Linked DNA regions of Caenorhabditis elegans. The protein of the gene in region 1 purifies or fractionates together with the protein of each later gene. This does not show direct contact. Each region holds a gene or a part of one and is shown in the gene's direction. Other genes may lie near its edges. The genes, in order: ttc-1 and C35D10.6.

Region 1 (4,215 bases):
GGGACCACTTCGTGATCGAATGGAAATGATTGATGTTAGCGGTTATTTAGCCGAGGAAAAAGTTGAAATTGCTCATCAACATCTCATTCCTCAACTCAGAAAAGACACATCTCTCGCCACAGAACAACTGAAAATTGAAGATTCTGCGTTGGAAGAGCTCATTAAGCATTACTGTCGTGAATCTGGAGTCAGAAATTTACAGCAACATATTGAAAGAGTATGTTTTGGTAAAAACAGGACGATCCGCGAGACCCGAAGAACTCGGGGGATGTCCAATTGGGGGGATTACCAACTCGGGGGATTGGCCCCGCCCACATAACCGTGGCTTGCAATACGCCCATTTCTGCAACTGCCGCACGGTTTTAAAACTGTATTTTTCTCAATAGAGCGAGAATTAACAAGAAAAAATAATTTTTAAACCGTGCGGCAGTTGCAGAAATGGGCGTATTGCAAGCCACGGTTCTGTGGGCGGGGCCAATCCCCCGAGTTGGTAATCCCCCAATTGGACATCCCCCGAGTTCTTCGGGTCTCAGATCCGCGCCTCGAGTTGATTGTTCTGTTTCGACAATTATATTTAGATTGCTTATAGAAATTACCTTTTTTTTCCAGATTTTCCGTAAAGCAGCTCTTCAAATTGCTGAACAACAAAACGAGGATGAGGAGCCAGCCGAAAAAGCAACAACTGCTATCACTGAAAACTCAGAAGCCGAACCAATCACCTCTACATCATCTGCAGATTGTTTAAAATCTTCAGCCGAACAAATTGTAGTTTGCACAGAAAACTTGCAAAAGTTCGTTGGAAGACCCAAATTCACATCAGATCGAATGTATGAAGTAACACCGCCTGGAGTAAGCGAAAAAACTGTTTTAAAAACTTAATTCACGTTCCGTTCAGGTGATAATGGGTCTCGCATGGACAGCAATGGGTGGATCTGCACTTTATATTGAAACTGTATTGAAACGACCTGTTGATTTGACAAATGATAAGGATGGAAGTATTGAAACAACTGGAAATTTAGGAGATGTAATGAAAGAAAGTGTTCGAACAGCGTTGACTGTTGCAAAAGGAATTCTTGCAAGAGAGCAACCCGATAACAAATTCTTCGATAAAGCACATATTCATATTCATGTACCCGAAGTGAGCTTAATCTTGAAATAATTTCAACTAACCAATTCCATTTTTCTAGGGAGCAACACCAAAAGACGGACCATCTGCAGGAGTAACTCTTGTCTCAAGTCTTCTTTCACTCGCTTTAGACCGACCTGTTGTGCAGGACATGGCGATGACTGGTGAAATTTCATTAACCGGAAAAGTGCTGCCAGTTGGTGGAATTCGGGAAAAAGTGATCGCGGTGGGTCCTCTGTTCTTTTTTCGTTCAAAAATTTCATTTTTTTTCAGGCTCGCCGTGTCGGAGCAAAACGAGTCTTCCTTCCAAATGAGAATCGTCGAGACTTTGATGATTTACCAGAATTCATGAAATCAGAGTTGGATATTCGATTCGTTTCGCATTATGATGAGCTCTACGAGCATCTCTTCCAATAATACGTGTCCCTTTCTTTCACCCCCAGTTAATACCTTTCAGATAGATTTTGTTGATTCACCTAATCCATTTTTTCTTGTTTTGTTATTTTAAAAACGTTTTGAAAAGAAAAAAGTTCAGGCTATAAACATTTTCCTACTTTTATTTTTGTTTTTTTTTTAATTTTAATAATCTCAAGTTGTTTGATCTTTTCAAATATTTTTCATTTAAATTCTAAATAATATTCTCTTTATTTAAAAACCATTATTTTCAGCTTTAGAAATGGCAATTATCGAAGAAATTTTCGAGGATGAAGAGGATCAGATAACAAAAGTGGATTCATTGAAAAAAGAAGGAAATAATTTCTTTGCGAATGGAGAATTCGAAAAGGCGAATGAAAAATATCAGGTATTGGAATGTTTTGCAAACGTGCGGCGCGGTTTGAAGCTTGTCGATTTACGCAGGATTTTGTACTACACGTGGACAAGTATTAATTCAATTTTCATATAATTTTATAGTAAAGAAAACAATAATTTGAAAAACAAAAATTTTGATTTTTAAAAATATCGAAAAATTACAAACAAGAATTTTAGCTGAAAACTACACAATCATCTCAAAAAAAATCCCCACTTGTCCGAGTGTAGTACAAAATTCTTCGTAAATCTACATGCATACAACGCGCCGCAGACTTGCAAAATTAACGGCTTGATCGGTCTATTTCGACAGTATACAATTGAAATTTTTCCAGGAAGCCATTGCCTCGTGCCCTCCAACATCCACAGAAGTACAATCGATTCTTCTTTCAAATTCAGCAGCTGCACTTATCAAGTTAAGAAAATGGGAATCTGCTGTGGAAGCTGCGTCGAAATCAATTGAGGTACTGAAGAGAGCATGAAATATTACACAGACGCGAAATTTTCCCAATTTCGACCACAAAATACGGCCTTGTCACTAAAATTTGGCGTTAAAATGAATAAAAGTTTGCAGCTTTAAGTATTTCTGAAATTTCCAACAAAAATTTCGATTTTCATTTTTCCTGAAAATCAAAAAGAAAAGGGTTTTGAAAATTGACAAAAAAATCCTTTTCTTTATCAAATTTTGTTTACTTTTACGAAAAAAACATCAGGAAACACATAATTATCTTCTACAAGAGGAAAAATTGGCAAAATTTTAAGATATTTTTCAAAAAATTAAAAAAAAATCGAAATGTCGGAAAACTAATTTCTCATAAATCGAAAACCCGGCTCCTATAGTTGGAAACTACAGTAATCCTCAAAAGGCGTCCTTTTGCATTTAACAAACGGTTTTCGTGTTGAGACCCTTAGATAGCAAAATTTTGCGACTTACTATTAGCTAGTTAGCTTGAAACAAATAAAATCAATTTTCAGATTGGAGCAACCAACGAGAAAGCACTGGAACGACGGGCGTTTGCATACTCGAATATGTCAGAAAAGTATGAGAATTCTATTGAAGATTATAAACAGTTACAGGTATCGATTTTGGTAGATTTCTTTTTGAAATTAGAAGTAAACTTTTTCCAGGAATCTCTTCCAAAACGCCGCGTCGAACTTGATCGGAAAATCGCTGAAATCAATGAGAAAATTAATAATCGAAATGAGGCGATGAAAGCCGATGTGATGGAAAAACTGAAGGGTTTCGGAAATTTCTGTCTATCGCCGTTTGGGCTCTCGACAGACAGTTTTGAGATGGTCCCGAATGGAAATGGAGGATTTTCGGTTCAAATGAAAGGTGCTACGAATAAACAAGAAGGTGCAAGTCAGGAAAAGAAAGAAGAGGAAAATGCATAATTGGCCGACATTCTTTGAATTTTCTGTACATTTTCTATCTGCATTCCGGTTAATAGTCTTCTTGCTTTCAATTTCGTGATTTTAAAGATTAAAATGAACATTTCTATTTGTATTCGTGAAATTTTAATCGCTCACACTAAAATGTTCTCTGGTCTCGAAAAGATCGAAACTTTAAGGCTACCGTATCAGGGATGGAGGGGATCTACAAAAGGGTCATTCCTAAATATATGATAACTCATCTTTTGAAATGAAATTATATCGTTTACTACAATGTAACTACATATAAAATGCAGTTTCGTTCTGTTCATATGTAGTTTGATCTCTGATCTTTGAACTCTCTTTTCTCTAGTTCTGTAGATGTATTGTACTGGGAGTTTATGGAATAACGTTATAAGATATAAAAACACTTTGAATATTCAAAAAAGTCAATTTATTTCCATAGAAAGAGAGCTATTAGGTTGCCTGCTCCACACTTGGCTTCTGCGGATTCTTGAACTCGTTGATCTCAGCCTCCTCCCAATCGTACGGGAATTCCTGTAATTATGATAAATGATAACACTTTTATTGTGTGAAAGACATACATTTTTGCCACTGAAGAGAATCGCGTTGGTGAGAAGTCCGTAGATTTCTGTGTAGTTCGGAGTGTCGGTGAATGAAAGTTTGTCAACCTGAAAAAGAATGGATTGTTAGGGGAAAAGTTGCAAAGGAGTTGCCTACTATTTGCATAATGTCGACGAATTCTGGTGGAAGACCTCCGAGCATTTCACGCATTTGAAGACCATTTCGGCACAACTTTTGATAGTCATGCACTTCTTTTGGTTTCTGGAAAAGGATACATAGAGAAGGGCTTTGATATATGTCAAAAATGCATTTACACCTACTTCGCC
Region 2 (4,166 bases), on another chromosome or scaffold:
CATTAAAACGTTGGAGGAACATAATCAGAAAAAAGGTATTGTGATAATAATAACATTTATTTGTCTCTGTAATAGCTATAGTGGGTGTCAGATGCTTTACATATTTTTGATTAATTTCTTTAAAGGCTCATTGTAGGGAGACACTTTTATTTTGATGATAGGAACTTTTCACAGCACATGTGCCTTCCATGTAGCTTTAAAAAATATGTTTCCACTGATATATAATCTTCCGCACTTTTTTATCTAAAAATAATTTCAGAAAAGGTTGAAAGAAAGGCGAAGCTCGTAGCAATACCACCAATGAAAGCTAGAAACAGGAGGTCTTCACGCAATAGCTTGGTGTACATAGATGGTCCTTCTACTTCTGAAAGTCATTCTTCAATGGTTCAACAAGTTCCCATCATCGACAACATTCCCGAAGTGCTCGAAAATGAGACAGCTGTCTGTTCCATTTCTAGTGAAGCAGATCATAATTCGAGAGGAATCAAAGATAATCAAGAATTTGCAATTGAAATCAGTGGGGAAGTGTCTCGAACCGACGACATTTGTGATGACTTTGCCGTGTTCCTCAAAAAATGCACAGTACTATTGACGAAATTTATTGACTCCTACTATGATTTCCGTTCAACTATGAAACTTAAGCCAGAAGATGCCATTGAGCACTGGAGTGCTGAACGTTTGACCAAAGAGGAACACGCCGCGAGGGTCACAAGATTTGATGTGGCGATCGCTAGAGCGACACGTGTGCAGTATAACATCGATATCAAGCTTCTAACAAAGCAAAGTTTTGTGTTTGACGATGATCGTGAAGCTGCCATTAATAAGAGGCTCGCCCGAATCGAGCGTTTTGTGAACGAACAACATGAAGAAATCAATTGGTTTTGTTTTTCAAATTTTTCACTCATGGATATTGGAGAAACGAAGGATAGATATTGTCTCGGCGATTTTTATGACAAGGTATTACAACTTTTAAAATGTAAAATGGCCACGAAATACTGAATTTGATAACGAGACTGTTTCAAAAATTAATTTTTTTTTTTTTGAAGTCTTGTTGTAAAATTCGGTTTTTAGGGTCATTTTAACTATTGAAACAACACAAAAGTTTGATATATAATGTGTATTTTTTTCGCAGGCTATCAGTATGATTCCAAAAGTGAAAGATGTCCCGAGTGTGGTGCAACTGGCGAAAGAGTGTAAGATGTGGTCCGCATTTGAACGAATTCTCAAGCAATACAATTTTGAGCCGCTGAAAGTTTTTGAAGAATTGCAAAAAATGCTTGAAAAGGTACATTTCAGTTGTTCTGTTCGAATTTAAATGTTTACATAAAATTAATTTTCAGGATTATTTTCTACCGAAAGGTAAGATCTTCTGCCAATTCTTGCTCAATGTCGCCCAACTGTTTTCCTATGATGTCGTTAAGAATGAATGGTCTTGCATCAAACAAATCGACGGGACGTTGTTTTCGGGAGTCCCATTTGATCGCGATGGAAGTGAGTTGGCTGAAAATTATTGAAAAAAAATTAGAAAATTACATTTTTCATCTGAAAAATTGGAAAGTTAGTCTGAAATTCTGAAATATCACAAAAGAAATGCGAAAACGATAAATTTAAAAAAAATTAAAAATCCAAATTAAAAAAAAAACCGAAAACTTCAGATAATCATAATAATCTATGTATTTTTCAGATCTACTCCCCACTTCTCAAAATTCGCCGACCGAATGCTCTTCTTGATTGTGTCATTTTTCTCATTTTTCCATGTAACACATCTAATCATTTCATTTTCATCTTACCATTTTCATATTTTAAACTTGCTGCACAATACATTTTTCCTTTTAAAAATCGTTTTTTTTTTCAGTCTTTTTTGGTTTGAAGCCAACAGTTATTTATTTACTTTTAAACAATTATTTCAAGTGTAATTGTTTTGCTTTTCAGGATCAATGGAGCATCGTGAATATGTTAAGAACAACATGCCATTGATCGGAATTGGCACGTGGCAGGTATTGACTTCGAATAAATCAATTTTTTGACTAAAAAATAAATTTAAGGTTCAAAAAGAAGAAATTCTTCGTCAAGTGATTGATGCAGGTTTCAAAGAAGGATATCGATTCATTGATACGGCACAAGTCTATAACAATGAAGCTAAAATTGGTAGAATCTTGGAAAAATTGCTTCCAGCAAATGGGTTGAAGAGGTAGGTTTTAAAAAATTTATAATTGTTTCTAAATCTTTTTTTAATCCTGCGAGAAAAAACTGGTTTTGGTGTTTCTTTGATTTGAAACCCATTTTCTCTAATTTTCAGCAAATTGTTTCGCTAAAAATGTTTAAATTGAAAAATGAAAAAAAATTCGACAAATTATATTCTAAACCAATAATCAAAGCAAACATTTAAAAAAATTTAAACTAGGTTATTCATTCAATATTATGTAATTCAAATATAGTTCAGCCACTTTTAATCTACAAAATTGAGAAATAATTTTTAAAAATTCAATAAAACCACAGAGCCACCAATTGAAGCTATCTTTTTTTCAGAGAAGACATCTGGATCACGTCAAAGTTAGCCCCATCTAATGCTGGCGTTAAGAAAGCTCGGGAAAGCATTGAGGAGTCACTGAGCAATCTTAAAGTCGAATATTTGGATCTTTTGCTCATTCACTGGCCTGGAAGTTCCCTGAAAAGCGAAAATCCGGCAAACAAGAAACTGAGAGTGGAAAGTTGGAACGTTATGTGTGAAATGATGGCTGAAGGAAAATTGCGTTCAGTTGGGGTCTCTAATTTTGAGATTTGTCATTTGGAAGAATTGAAAAAAGATTCTAATGTTGTCCCAGCAGTCAATCAAGTTGAGTATCATCCTCATTTCCATCAGGACGATCTGGTCAAATACTGTAACGAAAATAACATTCATTTCCAGGTGGGATTTTTCTAAATCTCGCTCTCTTGAAGTTTTTTTCAGGCGTACAGTAGCCTTGGCAGCCCAACATATCGTAAACAATTATCCGAAGAACCTCTGATCAAAGAACTTGCTCAAAAGTACAATGTCGAGATTCCTGTGCTCCTTCTTGGATTTGCTTATTGCCAGGGAATTAGCGTACTTCCGAGAACTACAAATCCAGAGCATGTTGCTACCAATTTTAAAGTTACTAAGCTGGCGGTCTGTTTCTAGATGGTTTTTAGTCCTAATGTCTAAAATTGGGATTTACAGATTACTCAAGAAGACATCGATCGTTTATTGGCTTTGACTGTCGAACACAAAACTTGCTGGGATCCTCGCGTAGTGGTTTGATTTCCAAAATCATTTATCATTATAAATTTAAAGCTACAAATAATCCTCTATATTCTAAATAGATGTATAAATTTTAAATGCCGAGTTATTATTTCTTGTTGTTGAAAGATCTCGTGATTGAGTCGTATATGGAAATTTTGAGCTGTCATCGAATATTTAATCTTCTTTCTTCGCTTTCGCGCCTTTTTTCTCCTTCTGCTCATTGTACAAATTGAGAAGATCGAATGCAAGAACACAGTTCTCTTCACTGAACACAAATGGAACAGCACGACGACTATCGTTGACTAGTGGACGACGAGCGATTTCCTTTGCGTCCCTAGAAATTACAGATTGGTTGAAAATTAAAATAAAGCTTAAATCTTACTTGAATACACAAATAGTTGGTAACTGTCGTGACATTGGATGAGCATTCACACGGAACCGCTCGCCTTCTTTTGCCCATCTTCCAATATCCAATTTCCCAAACTTCATGTTTGGAAGTGTGAACTTTTGACTCAATTCCGCAAAAACGGGTGAAGTATGTCTGCATTCTGGGCTCCATGTTGTGAAGAATTGAATAACCCAGATGGTATTTCGATTTCTGGTAAGTTCTTCGAAAAGCTGTTCACCTTGGAAATATGTCACTTGCTCTGGACCGTTGTACACGGGTTCAGGGAAAAGAACAGTAACGACTGAAAATTTTAATAATTATTAAGGAGATCGAGAGAAAAACTCACTTAAGCAGGCTAAAATATAGATGATTCCAGGCAGAATATCGGCACGAATGAAAAGGAACATGCCGGCGATCTTTGAGAATAAAAATATATTGTTGACGTAGTGCATCCAATTCGTCGCTTTTCGTCCTTTCCATGCCAGAATTATCAGAAGAAACATGAGAATCTCACGC

The links.
Region 2: the proteins of ttc-1 (region 1) and C35D10.6 fractionate together in Caenorhabditis elegans (co-fractionation; one large-scale study listed by BioGRID). This does not show direct contact.

What each region holds. Positions count from the first base shown.
Region 1 is NC_003279.8:10,674,391-10,678,605, reverse strand, and holds ttc-1 (TPR_REGION domain-containing protein), read left to right. Parts: upstream 1-1,794; 5' UTR 1,795-1,802; coding exon 1,803-1,928; intron 1,929-2,268; coding exon 2,269-2,397; intron 2,398-2,908; coding exon 2,909-3,010; intron 3,011-3,061; coding exon 3,062-3,328; 3' UTR 3,329-3,438; downstream 3,439-4,215. Other genes in the region: lonp-1 (Lon protease homolog, mitochondrial), read left to right, coding at 1-217, 610-849, 896-1,138, 1,188-1,352, 1,400-1,543; C34B2.3 (Protein kinase domain-containing protein), read right to left, coding at 3,782-3,862, 3,910-3,996, 4,046-4,150.
Region 2 is NC_003281.10:4,857,407-4,861,572, forward strand, and holds C35D10.6 (NADP-dependent oxidoreductase domain-containing protein), read left to right. Parts: upstream 1-1,932; 5' UTR 1,933-1,937; coding exon 1,938-1,997; intron 1,998-2,045; coding exon 2,046-2,191; intron 2,192-2,529; coding exon 2,530-2,908; intron 2,909-2,950; coding exon 2,951-3,148; intron 3,149-3,199; coding exon 3,200-3,280; 3' UTR 3,281-3,366; downstream 3,367-4,166. Other genes in the region: C35D10.7 (ULP_PROTEASE domain-containing protein), read left to right, coding at 1-35, 260-957, 1,133-1,285, 1,341-1,491, 1,685-1,731; C35D10.10 (Thioredoxin-related transmembrane protein 2 homolog), read right to left, coding at 3,437-3,596, 3,645-3,951, 3,997-4,166.